Lonchura striata: one gene and its partners. The protein of the gene in region 2 purifies or fractionates together with the protein of the main gene of each other region. This does not show direct contact. Links are inferred from orthologs where the notes say so. Each region holds a gene or a part of one and is shown on either strand. Other genes may lie near its edges.

The links. Proteins that work in one complex are often made in the same cells at the same time.
Region 1: the proteins of UPF1 (region 2) and MOV10 purify together in Homo sapiens (affinity purification with mass spectrometry; 3 studies listed by BioGRID and IntAct, with this or other methods). This does not show direct contact. The link is inferred for Lonchura striata from reciprocal best matches to the Homo sapiens genes UPF1 and MOV10.
Region 3: the proteins of UPF1 (region 2) and EXOSC2 purify together in Homo sapiens (affinity purification with western blotting; 3 studies listed by BioGRID and IntAct, with this or other methods). This does not show direct contact. The link is inferred for Lonchura striata from reciprocal best matches to the Homo sapiens genes UPF1 and EXOSC2.

What each region holds. Positions count from the first base shown.
Region 1 is NC_134632.1:5,825,137-5,830,503, reverse strand, and holds the start of MOV10 (helicase MOV-10), read right to left. Parts: upstream 3,304-5,367; 5' UTR 3,296-3,303; coding exon 3,123-3,295; intron 2,444-3,122; coding exon 2,350-2,443; intron 2,255-2,349; coding exon 2,121-2,254; intron 2,039-2,120; coding exon 1,800-2,038; intron 1,718-1,799; coding exon 1,477-1,717; intron 1,292-1,476; coding exon 1,169-1,291; intron 1,081-1,168; coding exon 927-1,080; intron 839-926; coding exon 684-838; intron 564-683; coding exon 387-563; intron 306-386; coding exon 158-305; intron 68-157; coding exon 1-67.
Region 2 is NC_134630.1:7,318,081-7,323,447, reverse strand, and holds the start of UPF1 (regulator of nonsense transcripts 1), read right to left. Parts: upstream 3,189-5,367; 5' UTR 3,118-3,188; coding exon 2,893-3,117; intron 1-2,892. UniProt on the Homo sapiens protein: RNA-dependent helicase required for nonsense-mediated decay (NMD) of aberrant mRNAs containing premature stop codons and modulates the expression level of normal mRNAs.
Region 3 is NW_027461138.1:113,072-118,438, reverse strand, and holds the start of EXOSC2 (exosome complex component RRP4), read right to left. Parts: upstream 3,779-5,367; 5' UTR 3,698-3,778; coding exon 3,573-3,697; intron 3,495-3,572; coding exon 3,393-3,494; intron 3,234-3,392; coding exon 3,188-3,233; intron 2,954-3,187; coding exon 2,864-2,953; intron 2,753-2,863; coding exon 2,687-2,752; intron 2,553-2,686; coding exon 2,484-2,552; intron 1,638-2,483; coding exon 1,461-1,637; intron 1,286-1,460; coding exon 1,157-1,285; intron 354-1,156; coding exon 273-353; 3' UTR 1-272. UniProt on the Homo sapiens protein: Non-catalytic component of the RNA exosome complex which has 3'->5' exoribonuclease activity and participates in a multitude of cellular RNA processing and degradation events.

The sequences.
Region 1 (5,367 bases), on a different chromosome or scaffold from region 2:
GCAGGTCTGCAGCGCTGTTGGAAGGGGCACAGGCCAAGATACGGGCATCCTTGAAGCATGTCCACACCTGGGTGGGAGGAGGAGATGACGGCATTGAACCTCACGGATGAGAACGGGCAGCAATGCTCAGGGCTGGATTTGGGCACCGGCCACTCACCTGCTTGATGGCCTCCACCATAGTGACCGTCTTGCCAGTGCCAGGGGGTCCAAAGATGAGGTACGGGGCTGGCCGGGACACCCCCGTCACGATGTGGGTCACAGCTCTGCACTGCTCCTCGTTGGTCTCCAGCTTGCGGTTAAACCACCTGTGGGAGCAGAGGCTGCACTGCCGGGGCCCCACCGCCTCCACCTCCAGGCCCTCCCTCCCTGCAGAACTGGGCACTCACCGGGGCTGGAAGGGGCCCGAGAAGAGGGACTTGTGGCAGGAGGTGGAGGGGAAGAGGAGGCTGAACAAGCCACGGCGCACGGCCAGGACTGCAGCCCGGTGCTGCACCTGCAGTGGCAGCCGGTTGAAGGTGAAGGTCACATCGAACTTCAGGTTTTTCACAAACTTCTTCTGCAGCCTGGGAAGGAATGGTGTGAGCATGGCACGGGGCACTCTCTCATGCCCTCCTAGCCCTTTCCAACCCACTCCTGGCCTTTGGCATCTGTGAGAAAGGCTGCTGGGACCAGACATCACTCACTTGGAGGAGAAACCCAGCCTGACCTTCTCCAGTTCCACGCTGTGCACGTAGCCCTTATACCGGACGAGTGGGGAGTGGTCCCGCTTGCTGCTCAGGTGGGCAAAGAGGTGGTCCCCTCTCAGCAGGGACGGGCGGTTCTCGGCCACGCCAGGCACCTGTGCCAAAGGACCAGTGTGATGCCAGGCACTCTGGGAGTGCCAGTGTTGTGCCAGCACCCCTCCTATCCCTCAGCCCCCTACGCACATCGAGAACCAGCAGAGCTCTCTCCTGCACCATGGTCACATCCCGCATGTCGTAGCGTCGGATGTCCACCTCCATCTGAATCTCCTCCAGGTACAGCAGCAGCTGGAATTTCTGCTGGTAGTTCTCAGCCTGCAGAGGTGCTTCCAGCAGCGAGCTGAGGGCAGCAGCAATGTCATTGTGTCTCAGGGGCAGCTTGGCACTCAAGGAACACCTCAGCATTGCTCTCTGCCCTTGGCACTCACCACAAGGCAGCCCAGCTGGAGCTGGCACTGGTGTTGGGTCCGAGCAGGATCATGTCCTTGAGGCTCTTTGGGTACCTGTAGGTACCCAGAGGGATTTCCGTCTCCAGTTCATTTTTCAGGGAGCTGTGTGGAGGGTACAGTTGTGCTTCAGGGACTACATAGTGCCCCCAGCCCCAGTGTCACTGTCACTGCACAGGGTTGAAGCACGATCCTGTGGTGCCAGACAGTCAAGGAGCGAACCTTGTCCTGGCTGAAGAACAGCCTGGGCCCCTCTGCTCGGGATGGCAGCATGTGACTTCATCACATACCTGTCAGGGGGGATGCCATCCTCAGTGATGACTGTGACAAAGCTTTGGAGGCTGGCCTCGTAAGGCTGGAAAGGTGCCGAGGGCCCCAGGTCCTTGGCCAGCTGGCTCTCAGCAATGGCAGCAACATAGCGTGAGATGCTGAAGGACTCGCCTGGTTCCTTGGTGAACTCGAAGACCACCAGAGCACTGAAGTGCCCGTTGCAGGTGGTGAGGCACCGCACCTGGATGGGGTACATCCCACCTGCGGGGTGAAGTGGTGAGATTGGGTCCTGCATCCTCTCTGCAGGGCAGGGCACGGGGAAGGGGATGGGAAGGGGCCCTACCTGGGTGTAACAGCAGGGACTGGCCCTGCACTGCCCCCTGCTCATCGGTGAAGGACAGCTCCCGTGACTGCTTGTGTAGCTGGAACCGCTGCAGGGTCACCACCTCGCTTCCACAGTTCTGCACCAGGATGGTGACTGTCCGGGGCTCACCCGGCACCACTGGGAAGCGGATATTCCCGTTGCCCTGGTCACAGTCTGAGGTGATCTCCACCCCGTGCTTCTCACGAATGCGCTTGGCCCTGTGGGGAGGGAGGGTCAGGCTTTCCCAGCTGGGCTGGGGGATCCAAGGGACATGCCACGGTGGGGTGGTGCTGGTCATACCACTGCTTGCCATGGCTCTCGGGCATTTGTGGAGTGGAGCTGAGCTGCTGTCCTGAGGCAGACGTGGACACGGATGTCTGTGCATTCCTTCTGGTTCGTCGGTACTGGTCTGCCACCACCAGGCGCCTTTTCACCTGCAAGGAGCAGCCAGACCCAGCGTGGCCCCAGGATTCTGCAGGGGGCTCCTGAGGAGCCAGTCCTGGTGGGCACTGCCCCAGCATGAACTCACCTTGAATTTCACCACCTCTCCATGCACCTGAATCTGCTGGGTTGTCTTCAGTGCGTACAAGATGCAGGAAAATCTGGGTGTCTTTGCATCAGTCCTGTGGAGACAAGGGACAGGGTTTCTGTGGGAGTGTGGCTTGGCTGCCATGGGCACAGAAACCCAAGGTGAGGCAAGTGAGAAGATGAAGTAGGACACCGAGGCTGCAGTGAGGGAGTTCTCAGCAAGTCCCCTCTGCTCCAGGAGAGGAAGAAGGACTTGGGCTTCCCACTGGCCTGTGCAAACCTCACATCCCTGCTGGCTGCTCCAGCAAGTCCGAGCTGTGCCATTGTTGTCTCAGCTATGCCACAGCCATCCCAGCTGTCCCACTGCCTGGCCTGACAGCCATGCAGTCTCTGTCCATGCAGTTGAGCTGGCACAGGTGGTGGCTCTGCTAAGGCACAGCCACTGTTCTCCCAGCACTGACTCCCCAGGTTCCTCCTCCCAGTCCTACCAGTGCACTGAGCCCTGGCTTTGCCAATGATCGTGCAATGTCACAGTGGTGACAGTGCATAAGGGCCAGTGTGATTGGTGCCAGCAAGGTGAGGTCGGGGTGGGCAGGGGGTGTCCAAGGCCATCCCTAGGCAGTTGCTGGGGGCCCACGGAGCTGGGGATCATCCCAGCAGGGTTTGGTGAGACAGACGAGCTTGGAGACCCCGGTGATGCTGGCCAGGCACTGGGGATGCTGGCCTGGGATCTGTCCCAGGTGATGTCGCCCGGATCTGGCCGAGGGCTCTCACCTGGCCCGGAACTCCTGGTTGTAGATGGTCCGCAGCGTTTCCCGCAGGCTCCTCTGCTCCCGGCCCGTGTCCTGCAGGAACTGCACGAACTGATTCCCCCAAAGGCTGCCCTCCGCCACGCTGCACCGCGGCATGGTTGAGCCGCGCCGCGCCGCGCCGCGCCGGTACCGCATCCAGCAGTGCCCGGTTGACCCGGACTGGACCGGTCTGGGCTGGGCTGGGCTGGGTCGCACAGGGAGAACGAAAGCAAAAGAAGCCGGGACCCGCCCACCTGGCCCGGGCGCACCGGGGGCCGGCAGCGGGGCTCAGAGGGCTGGAGGGGGAGAGGGGAACCAGTCGGTCTGAAGGATGATTACCTGAAGATTTGGAGAAGGACAAAGAGATAGAAACGCTCCTAAGGCTGGAACGCTGGCGGTGGAGTGCTTCCAGTGTAACCAAGGAGCAGACAGACTAGCCTTGAGGCAGATAAAAGCTGTGCTGTGTGCAGAGTCTTATCTTGGGCCCTGCTTCGGCTTCACATTCTTGGAATTACTACAGCGATTTCCTGGATGCGTCCAGGGCCGCAGCCCACAGCACCTGAGGCTCACACAACCTTTCATCTCTCCTGGGTGCTGCCTCTTGAACTGTCCATGGGTCTGCCCTGTGCAAACCCTCCAAAAAGCCCTGCTTTGTCCCATGTAGGATACAACCTGGAGTGTATGAAGTAGGTGTTAAAGAAAGACACCGAGGGTAAGTGGAATAACCTCCTTGCTGCCTTTTTTCCAGGGTGAGGAGCTGCATTAAAGCTCTGTGATAGTTTCTATTTTAGTTTGGAAGCTCAGCCCTCCAGGTCCTGTGTCTGTATACTAGGACGGGAGCACCACCCATGGGTTTGGAGTGATACCATCCCTGCCTTAATAACGGAACTGTTAAGGTTGGAAAAAAACTTTGAAATCATTGAAAACCAACCATCAACCCAGCACCACCGTGTTCACCACTAAACCAGGTCCTCAAGTGCCACATTCACATTTTTGAACACTTCCAGGGATGGCGATGCCAACACTTCCCAGACTTCAGGAATTAACAAGAGTGAGACCATGAAAGAACAGACACAAATGGCTTTAAACAAAGACTGGTGTATTTGCACTAGACTTATTGATACAGAGCATGCCTGAGGGGTGAATTGTCAGTCTGAGCAGCAAATACAAATATATTTTAATTAGATAAAACTCACAAAGGATAAAAACTTATTTTGTGGTGTTACTGTGCAAAACCTAAAGTGTAACTCACAGACAACTCCGTCCCAATCTTCCCAACCGTTTTTCCTTTGTGTATTTAAAAACAAGAAAACATGAGCCACTTTAAAAAACAGAATCTGTAAGGCGCCCAGTGATAACCAAGTGCAAACAAAGCAAAGGGAGTTCACTTTGTAGTGAATCTATGTTCCAAGATCTGAGAAAGGCGTATGCCTATCTCTTCGTCCTCCCCTCCAGAGAAACTGTTATGACTGCTAATTTTGATGTTAGAGGGGGAAAACAGTAATGCAGAGCAAGCACACAGAACAGATTCATTCCGAAATCCCCTCTAAGCATGACAAGAAACTGTCCACAACTGAGACAAATGGAAAAGATTTTTAATTTCACTTTGGTGCAAGTTTATTTATTTTGTACACTATCCATCCATACACCTGTGATACAAATCTATGAACCTGCCACAAAGCATTAAAGCACAACATACCTATTATTTTGTAGACATTTGCATTTTTAGTCACCATCCAGCCCTTGTGAATCAGCAGTGACTTATCTTGCAGTTCTGTAAAAATGCAGATGTCTGGTAACCGTACATACACGAGGGAGGGGAGAAGAAAGATGTTCACTTTTAGAGAACATGGCTCAAATCTTCAGATTAAAAAAAAGTTACGTCCCTGGAAGAGCTGGGTCAGTAGGGAATTCTGTAAAGGATCCTGTAAACTCATTTTCTACAGCAAAATCTAAGCCTGCAGGCATCTGCTTTGTGGAGGCTGGGAATAAGAACACACGAGAACTCACTGTCTTGCACTTACTTTGTCTTGCAGCGCCATGAGCTCTTGGCAGGTTTAACAGACTTACTGGATACCTGGAGTGCTGGATACCGGTGAAGGAAACGCTCTGCACCCTCTCGTGGGGTAATAATAGGGCTTTTCCAGCTAGGAAGTTTTCCAGCCAGTGACTGAAAACAGCTATATTTCTGAGCCATGAATGGCTGAATTTAAATGACCTATTAAATG
Region 2 (5,367 bases):
TCCCTGGAAGTGCCCAAGGGGGTTTGGAGCACCCTGGGACACTGGAAGGTGTCCCTCCCTCTGGGACCTTTAAGATTGAAGGTTTTCCAACCCAAATCGTGCCGGGATTCTGGAATCCTGCAGGCTGTGAGTCCCGGATCAGTGCTGACAGAATATTCCCCTCTCACTCCTGCTCCCAGCTCCCACACCCAGCCGGGCCAGCAGCAGAGCCCCAGGTGAGCACACCTGCAGCCTCCTCACCCAGCTCTGCTTGCAAGTGCTGCATTTCAAGCTGCAACAAGAGCTGTAATTGCACTTTAACTCCAGCAGGTATTCTGCCAGAGAAGTCCTGCGAGAGGCTTCAGCACCAGCCTGCTGACAGAGTCACCCCCAGCTCAGGGGATCCCCCAAACCCCACAATTCTGGGGTGGGGTGGCAAAGGTGTGTGACTTTCCCCTCGGGGCTCTGCTGGGACTGCGGGGTGAGGGAGATTCGCTTTTTTCGCGTTCCCTTTCCCGAGGAGGAAGCCGAGGAAAGCCTCGCCCCTGGGAGGGAGCAGCGAGGGCTGGTGTGGCCCGGACAGAACAGCCTTTGTTAGCAGAGCAACGAAAGGAAAGCCAGCCCCGGCGTGCTGAGCCACCCGGGAGCCCGGCTCGCCCACACCGAGCTCCCAGCAGCGAGAATTCCACAGAATTCCCGGCTGCTCTGGGCTGGGAAGGGACCCCAAAGCCCGGCCAGGGCACCTTCCTCGCTCCCACGGTGCTCCTTGGGCAGCTCGGCGATCCACAGCTGCTCTGGTTTAAATTCCTCTGAAAACACTTCCGAAAATTCTTATGTTGATTTAATTCTAGCAAACAATGGGAATAGAATTTTCTGTAGAAAATGTTTGTGCTCTACTCCTACTTTCGACCATTGGCCGCTAATCAAGTGTAACACTATTAATTAAATATATTGGGAAAGGAAGTTTTTCCCTAAAAAATGAAGTGCCCTGCATGGCTCAACTCATCTTTTTAAAAAGACCCCAGAAACAGCAGAGCAAAAGTTTCCACCTCCAATATTCCTCAGCTCCAAATACAATTATTTACTTAATTAGCTTTAATTATAATCACAGGGCTAATATTTCATTAAGCAAAACCTGATCAATTGGAGAAGTCATTATTTAAGATGCCTCCTGCCAAAAAGAATAACAAACTTCAATCATCTAGCGAGGGCAGCAAAACTTCTGCCCAGAAGTTTTAAAAAACCCCAGATTTTGTGATTTTATCAGCCCTGAGCCCATTGAGAGGGGCAGGTCTGAGCAGATCCTGGGCTTTGTTTTACTTCACCCAGGAGGAAACGGGGCCTGCTCCTCCTCTGAGAGTCCCTCCCCAAAAATGACATTTCTAACATCAAAATGAGCAGCAGGATGACCGCAAAAGTTTGCAGAAACTCAAAACCACCCTGAGTTTTTAAAAAAATCAACCCAAAATCCCTTCCTTTTAGCCAGGAGACAAAACCAGTACCTGAAGGTGCTCTCCAGAGATTTTTTTTTTTTTACTTTGACCTCAAAGGTTTTTCAAACATGTTTAGACAAAAAAAAAGGCCAATTAATTATCCTCTTGCCTGGACTTTCAGCTTATGAGGCTGATTTTGGGGTGGTTTTTCTTCTCCTTGGCCACAAATTCCCTACTGGGAGCTCTGGAGTGATCACAACCCATTAAAGGTTTAAAATTAAATGTGATTAAAATTCTCTTTTAATGTACACAGAGATTTTACTGCTGGCAGAAAATAATTCTGATCTCTCAATGCCCAAAAACTGGATCAATTCTACCAAATCCAAGAGCTGCAAATGAACAGAAAATAACCCAAGAGCTCTGACTCACAGTGACCTGAGCACACCCCTGCAGTCACCGAGCACTTTCAGGCAGAAAAACTGATTTAATTTGTGCTGGGATAAACCCCCAGCACAGGAGAAAGCCTCGCTCAGCCCTGCCCTGCACACCTGTGGAGCTGGATGTGCTCCCTGCTCCCATTCTGCTGCACTCACACACCCACCTGGGGCAGCTCCTGCAAGGAAAAGGACAAAAACCAGGCCCAGGATGTTTGGTTTGGGCATAAAAAACTCACCTAAAACTCTCAATTCCTTTTTACACTCATCCCTTAACACGTGGGTGATGTACAAGCATGTAATGGTTAATAATGGGATTTCTGTGAGGGACCTGAATATTCCACGATCTTCAAACTGGAGAAAAGTGTGGCTTTTTTAGAAATACCGGAGAGTTCTTTGGAGTTTTTGTTGTTTACTACGGGCACACTGAGATTGTTATCTTCATTTGCTGCACTTCTTGTCAGCTGCAATCCTAATTCCTCCCCTGCCTACGAGTTGTGAATTGCTAAATAAATACAATTTCATTCTCTTCTAGGCATCAACTGCAATAATAAAAAAAAACAAAACAAAATAAAACTAAAACCTGTTGTTAAACCACTAAGAACCAGAGCTCAGAACTTGTCCCTACCACACAATCCCCAAACAAACCCAACAGCTGCGTAGCGACAAAGTGGAAACTGAAATTTTAAAAAAAAAAAAAAAAATCAACATTCACAGTAATAACAAGCAGAAATTCAAGCGTTATTTTAGCGAGGGGAAGTAAAGAAGAAGCAAAGAATTTCGTCAGCGCCCAACTTTGGATAACAAACACCAGCGAAAGCTGATTGTTTTAAGGAGAAAGAACCCGAATTTCACCCCGCCTCGGTGGTTTTTTCTTTCCCTCCTCCCCATCGCAACGCCACAACTATCGCGACTCGGCCGCAAGTTTCCTGCCGGCACCAATCCCGGTGGAATCCCGGTGCAATCCCGGCGCAATCCCGGCGCAATCCCGGCTCCCGGGGCCGGGCTCCCCCCGGGGCACCGACCCCCGCTCCTCCGCCGCTCACCTGCGCTTCCAGCGGGCCCGGCGCTCCCTGCCCCGCGCCGGGGGCGCCCTGGCCCTGCGCCGGCCCCGCCTGGCCCGGCCCGGGCGGGGTCTGCGTCTGGCTGGGGAGGGTGAAGTCGGTGAACTCGAACTCGGAGCCCTGCGTGTCGGCGCCGAGCAGCTCGGCCTCCTCGGTGTCCAGGAAGGTGAGGGTCTGCGAGCTGGGGCCGTACGCCTCCACGCTCATGGCGGCGTTCTGCTGCGGGCCGGGAGGATCCGTCCTCCCCACCCTCACCCCGCCCCCGCCGCGGCAGCCGCGGGCTTCCCCCTCAGCGAGCCCGGGCGGCCGCGCTACGCGAGCGGCGGGATGCGCCGCGCGCACCAGGCCGCGCGCCCCAACCCACACGCACAAACGAACCCGCCGCCGCCGCCGGCTCGCCGGGCGGCCCCGGAGCTAACGGGCGGGAGAAGGGAGCGGAGCGGGCCCGGGAGTGCGGCCGGGCTCGGTCGCTCGGTCGGTCGGTCGGTCGGTCGGTCCGTGCGGCCGCGGCCGCCGCGCGCCAGGCCCGTGAGCGGTGACGCGGAGCGCGCGCGCGCGCGGGGGGGCGGGGGGGGGAGGACGCGCCGGCGGCAGCGCGCGCGCGCGCGGGGGGGGTGGGGGGCGTGACGCACGCGCAGCACGCACCGGGGAGGGGAGGCGCGGCGCGGCGCGGCCGCCAGGGGGCGCGCTGCGCGCCCACGCAGCCCGCACGGGGAGGGGGCGGGGCTTGGCGCTGAGTGACGGGTGTGGCGGCCAATGGGATGGTGAGGTGAGAGGGAGGGCGGGAGGGAGCGGCGCGCGGAGGGAAGGGGCGGGGTTTGGCGGTGAGTGACGGGTGCGGCGGCCAATGGGAGATCGAGATGAGGGGCGGGGGCTGAGGGGGTGGAGAGGTCACTGTGAGGGGATGGGGTGGCTGGGCACCCGTGAGGGGTCACTGTGAGAGGATGGAGTGGCACTGGGCACTTGTGAGGGGTCACTGAGGGGATGGACAGGTCACTCTGAGGGGATGGGGTGGCACTGGGCACTTGTGAGGGGTCACTGAGGGGATGGACAGGTCACTCTGAGGGGATGGACAAGTCACTGTGAGGGGATGGACAGGTCACTGTGAGGGGATGGAGTGGCACTGGGCACTCGTGAGGGGTCACTCTGAGGGGATGGACAGGTCACTGTGAGGGGATGGACAGGTCACTGTGAGGAGATGGGGTGGCACTGGGCACTCGTGAGGGGTCACTGTGAGGGGATGGGGTGGCACTGGGCACCCGTGAGGGGTCACTGAGGGGATGGACAGGTCACTGAGGGGATGGGGTGGTCACTCTGAGGGGATGGGGTGGCTGGGCACTCGTGAGGGGTCACTGAGGGGATGGACAGGTCACTGTGAGGGGATGGGGTGGCACTGGGCATTCCTGAGGGGTCACTGAGTGGATGGACAGGTCACTCTGAGGGGATGGACAGGTCACTGTGAGGGGATGGGGTGGTCACTCTGAGGGGATGGGGTGACACTGGGCACTCGTGAGGGGTCACTGTGAGGGGATGGGGTGGCTGGGCACTCGTGAGGGGTCACTGTGAGAGGATGGAGTGGCACTGGGCACTCCTGAGGGGTCACTGTGAGGGGATGGGGTGGTCACTCTGAGGGGATGGGGTGGCACTGGGCACTCGTGAGGGGTCACTGAGGGGATGGACAGGTCACTGTGAGGGGATGGACAGGTCACTGTGAGGAGATGGGGTGACACTGGGCGCTCGTGAGGGGTCACTGAGGGGATGAGGTGGCACTGGGCGCTCGTGAGGGGTCACTGAGGGGATGGGGTGGCACTGGGCGCTCGTGAGCTGTCACTCTGAGGGGACGTGGTGACACAGGGCACTCTGAGGCCACGGGGACACTGTGGTGACAATGGGGTCACCTGTGCCCACCATAAGCTGCCAGCTCTGCCTGTTCCCTTGGAGCTGGCGGGAGGGACACGGGGTTAAGTGGGAATTAAGGAGCGGGAATTACATTAATTCCTGCTCCAGCTGTAATTCCTGTCCCACCTGTAATACCCCACAGCTCTGAGTGAAGGCTGAGCTGCTCTGGGCGTGCTGCACTGGGCATTCTCTGAGCTCAGGGCCGTGCAGAGAACATTTCTACCTTGAAATAAACCAAAAACTTAGAATTTACCCTCATTCCATTCGATCAGAACACAATAAATCCCTTCTTAGTGTTGGGAAAGGCTGGATATTCAGTGCCTTTTCCCGTCCACATTGAGATGCAAATATGTATCTTCTCTTATAAATAACTTGGATTTTATATTCTTGCTTTTGGTGTAGGATAAAGCCCAGCCTGAAACAACATGTACCAGATCTGCGGCTGCTGGGCTGAAAAGATGGAGATTGGAAAACATCCTTGTCCTGGGAATATTGTGCAGCAAAAGGATGGGAAAAAACCAAATCCAGGGAGCACAGGAGTCTCCACTTCTGCAGAGA
Region 3 (5,367 bases), on a different chromosome or scaffold from region 2:
AACAGGTATTAGGAGACATGTCCCAGTTGCATCTGATCTTTATAAAGGTCAGATATCAATTTTTCAGGCTGTTGCACTAAAAGGCTATTGTACTTTGCACTACTTTGTACTAAAAGGACACAGGAGATATCCTAGGAGTGAGGAATTCTGGTGGTTTCTGAAGTGTGGAATGAATGTTGAGGACTAGAACACTGAAAAAGAACATATAATACTGAGAATCAAAGCTGCCATGCTGGGATTTCAAATGACTGCTTCTGGCCATGTGCCCTATCCTATCCCTCTGAATCCAGCAACCTCTGCCGAGCTTCCAGAACGATCTCCTCTGTCACCTCTGGTTTGAGAATGTCCTTGATCTGCAGTGGAAAGAAAAGCAATATGAGCACCAGGAACCAACAACTACACTTCTGCACTCTGTGGGGAGACAAAGGTCCCTGACACATGACAGCAACCAGCAAGGGAGTTTAGAGGGTTGGTGAAAAAAGACCTAAGGCAGAGGGTCCAAGGCATAATTAATTTTACCAGTTGAGGATTCTGACAGAGACCAGAGGAAATCAAAGGAGAGGCTACTAACCCTCCTTATCTTCCCTGAAGGACACACACTGTATTTGGGAAGGGCAGAGTTATACTTCAAAAGAATACCTCACTAGAATTAAAGCAGAATTCAGATCTCATTTACTTATGGGAAGAGAATTGCCCGTGATTGTGCTGGCAGGAATCACAGTGAAAAGCTGTACAGCCAGAGGTCAAATGGAGGTAGTCTTCCAGAGTGCAGGATGTGGATACAGTCATGAGCCTGCTCTCTGTACAATACATGACATTTACTTTTTCATTGCTTCATAAAATGCACTGTGCCCTCATACAATGCCAAATTTAAAACTGTTTCCACAGGAATTAAAGGGTCCATAATCCCAGCAAGGGATACACAACATCTATCAAAAACGGAACTGATCTCTCTTTAAGAACAGTTAGTCTTTGCCAGAGGCAGAACCTTAAAATTGTGCAATCAACTTATGTTGTGCAGAAGAGGAGAGTTCATACTGTCGCTTACTACAGGGTGCTTTGGTAAGTTGAAAGGAAACTCTGACTTCAGCAGCAACTGATGCAGCCTTTCTGTTCCCTCCCCTCAGTGTGGAATAAACACTACTGGTTCCTGTACCTGATGAGGAAGGGATGCTTCATAGCAATATAGGATGCTGGTGTCAAAGAGCATAATCTTGTGAGTAACCAGAGCCATGATGCAGTTTCGGAGCCGTGAGATCACCTCCCGGTCAGACAAGGGAACTGGCTGAGGAAGGACAGAGGAAAAGGGATGAATGCACAGGGAAATAATGCAAGTAAAAAAGCCTTGCTGTGAACCTAACACAAGATCCTGAAAGTCTCGGGTTCCTCACGTGCCTCTGACTATGTCAGACTAAAAACCATCACTGGCAGAAGAAGGCTCACGTTCCCTGGACGCTCACCTCCAAGTTGGCCGTGTAGCCTCCGGCCTCGTCATCCTTCTGCTCCGGGGTTGGGTAGATCCAGATGAAGCCATTGTTGCCGAGGATCACGGATGCCCCACAGGGCAGGTCATGGAAATGAGTCTTCTGGCGTTTCACAAGGGAGGGAGAGACCTGAACCAGCACACCCTGGGCAAGCTGGAGAGCAGACCACGAGGCTCAGTGTGAGAGATATCATGAACCACCACAGATAACACCAAGTCACTGATACACACTCACTCCATTCCTGGCCTAGGAATAACACTGTTTTAACATCTTTTCCTGTGAAACAGTGAATATAAAACCTGCCTGCCTCTGGCAGCGCTGGGAGGATTAGCTAATTGCCTGCACAGCCCTTTGAAGATGAAGAATACTCTAAGTGCTTAGCACAAATGTTAATAATATCTTGATTGTAACTACACATCAACCATCCCTGCAGAAAAATGAGGAGTCAGAGGCCCAATTTAGCAGAACACTTTCTCTGGTAATCCAATCACTGTCCTTCACCCTTTGTGCAATAAGCACACTTCCCTTTCATCTTTTAAGTGTTAATACCTTTGGTCTGGTAATCCCAAACTGCAACCTACGCTCCAATGGCCCCTTGGCTTATTTCAATGCACAAAACCAGAGATAAATGCCAACTGTGTAAAGCCTAAAATAGAGCCCTGGGGAGAGGAACAAGTCACAGGGGCAACAGCCAGCAGAAAGGAGTGAGGAGATCTCTCCCCAGGATTGAATTCCTAAGTGGCTAGTGGGGGGAAACAGAATAGCAGGCTGAAACTGTGGATGGGGAGAGCAGTGGATCAAAGGGCAACTCAAGGACACCTCCTCTGTTTTGGGGAAACTTTTCTTGGTGGTCCCGTGGAAGAGCTGAGAGTCTTCCTGTCCTGCAGGAATGGGTTATAACAACATCCTGCTCTACTCAGAGCTCTTTTCTTTAAAAAGCCTTGTACAAGTCAGCTGGTGCAGATTTTTCCCAGGATCAAGGGCTTTGGAATAACTCACCTTCCCATACTTCAGGCTCCGGGTGTGCAGCGATACAGCCCCATCAGAAAATATAGACTGGACCTCTGCCTGTCGGTGCCACTTAAGGAAACAGAGTCCCTAAGGCTGCCCAGTGCCACCCCAGCATAGCTCTCACCCCCAGCCAAGCTCTCCCTGTTCTTCCCATGCCCTTGGCTCTTCTGTCAATGGGAGCAGCAGGATACACTGATGAGATCCCCTTCCTGCAGGTAGTCCCTCATTGCAAGCTCATCTTCTGCTGATTTCCTTCTCTGAAACATCACAAGAAAAGTTACACGTATCCCAGAACGAGGAAATATCCATCAGTAGCTCATTGTGGGGGCCCTTAAGATGCCACACAAAACACAACCAGCTACACTCACCAGCTCCCCACCAGGTAAATTTATAGACGACAGCAACAGGACTGAATCCAGCCTGGAATTTATTTCCACTTTCCATCGCTTCTGCTGAACCTAAAGGGGAAAAAGCCACCAAAACTTATGGGTACACAATCAAAAACTGCACTGAGCTGCAGGAGGGAAAGCTCTGCTGGCTTCTTCCAGCCTCATTCCAGTAAAAATCCACACGTTCCCAGCACCCTGTGCACGGACACTGATGCGTGTCAGTGTTTTAGGCTCCCGGGAAGCGCTTAGAGTCGGACTGATCCACGACCACGCTCCTCCTCCTGCACAAACACGGGGCTTTACCTCGGTGATCCTGCCGACCACGACGTCGCCGATCTCGCCGTTGTACCTGGGGCAGAGAGCGGCGGTCACACCCCACACCCCACACCTCACACCCCTCACCTCACACCCCACACCTCACACCCCACACCTCACACCCCTTACCTCACTCCCCACACCTCACACCCCACACCCCTCACCTCACAGCGGGCCTCGCCGCCGCGCTCACCTGCCCTTCAGCGCCCTCACACACACCAGCTTGTTCACCCTCTCCACCACGCCGGCCACCGAGGCGATCAGCTTGTCGTCCTCCACATAAGTACCGTGGCCCCTGCGGAGAGACGGCGGCTACCTAAGGACAGCCCGAAGCCGCGCCGCCCCGCCGCCTCCCCTCCGCCGCTGCCCGCACCTCATGTATCCCGTGTCCGTGGTGATCGTGTCCCCCGGTGCCACCAGGTGCTTCTCGCCGCTCCGGGGCGCGCTGGAATCCAGGGGCGCTCGGGCCGCCGGCAGCCTCATGGTGACCGCCGCCATCTTGGCCCCGCCGTACGCGCCTTCCGCCCGCCATGTTGGCTGCTGGCGAAAGCGCGCCTGAGGGCGCGGGCGCCGCCATCTTGAGTGAGGGCGGCAGGGGCGGTGACTGGGCAGCCATGTTTGTTTCTGGCAGCGAGGGGCCTGTTGGGCTTCGTTCCGGTGGAGCCCAAAGGGAACCGCGGCCATCTTTAGTGAGGGCACCCCGGGCAGTGACCCTCTCCCTCAGAACCCTCCTGGCGAACGCGGGGAACGCCACGGGGCTCTCCCGGGGCTCACCCCCGGTTCGGGTGCCCCTCACACAAGGTGTCCCGCTGAGGGCCATCCTCTGACGCCCTCCCCAGCTGGCCGCTGCTCACTCTGGGCTTAAACATCCCCGTGGATGAGCCCTTCCCCTCGGCCGAGCTGTGCCAGCACGAACTGATACGTCCGTGGAAAAGTTTAATCCATTCAAGCACCGTTAGAGTCTCAGGGCTGCGATGGCCATCAGCAAATAATGTCGCTTCCTTCCAGCAGGGCTTACACCTGTATGCCACACCCATATCCCGCCTGTATCACAGCCGAAATATGGGCGCTAATTCACGGGATGCATCAAACGATGTCCAGTGGCTGTGGCTTCAAAGAGGAGCTGTAAAAGTTCACAAGAATAGGGACTGGCAGGGTAGAATCATACCCACTCTGGAGTGAGCCAGCCCTTACCCCAGCTTCCAGACCTGAAAAAGGGCTTCTTTAGCCAAAACCTGGTTTTTTTCCCCTCCCAGGTGTATTCTTGGTCCAACAGATGACACCGCATCTCCTCACTCACACATTGTTGTGGCAGTTGAGACCTTCATTCATCCCAACACCCACATCCTTCCCCTGGCACATAAAATAAAGCTCTCCATGCAATCCCTCTTCTAAATGATAAATGTTCCAAGTAATTTTTATTTAGAATACAAGAGAGGTACAAATGTATTTACACTGTGTACATATACAATCAAATAATATATAATATCAAAGTCTTGTAAATAATGTTTACATAAATATTTACAAAGTTAAAGTGACAGTTGTTTGGGGGTGGGTTTTTTTTTTTTTCTTTTGTTTTTGTTTATTTTCTTCTGGAAGTGAAACACATTTGTGAGAACTTTATACATCTTAGACTTATAATTAATATTAGAATACCTTCTTTTAAGATTTATGATACACAGCCCTCCTCCGCTGTGTGGGGACTCCAGAGGGCGCTTAGAGTTGTCCTTGGGGACAGAGCTGGCCCGGGGACAGGTTTTCTCTGTCCCCAGAGGGCAGTAGCAATTCCAACCAGAATGTTCCCTCACAGCTGGGAAAGGGATGGGGAGAAGAGCCCGGCAGAGCTCAGGTTCCCCGCAGAACCTGCCTGTGGATGGGCATTCCCAGCTGGCACCGTGTCCCCTCTGCCCACAGCACGGCTTGGAGCGGTGACAGACCCCAGGGCACGGCTCTGGCTGGAGCAGGGCGGGCACGGGGGGCTCAGGTGCAGGAAAATGCGAATGTTCACTAACTCGGGGCTCCCAAAGAGGGAAAGGTGTCCCTTGGAAGGAGCCACCAGGACCAAAGTCACTCCCAGGGCAAATAGGTGTGACTGGGGGGGCCACATCAGGGCCGTGCCAACATTTCAGTGGGGCACGTGTCTGCTAAAGCAGAGGAGGACAGATAAC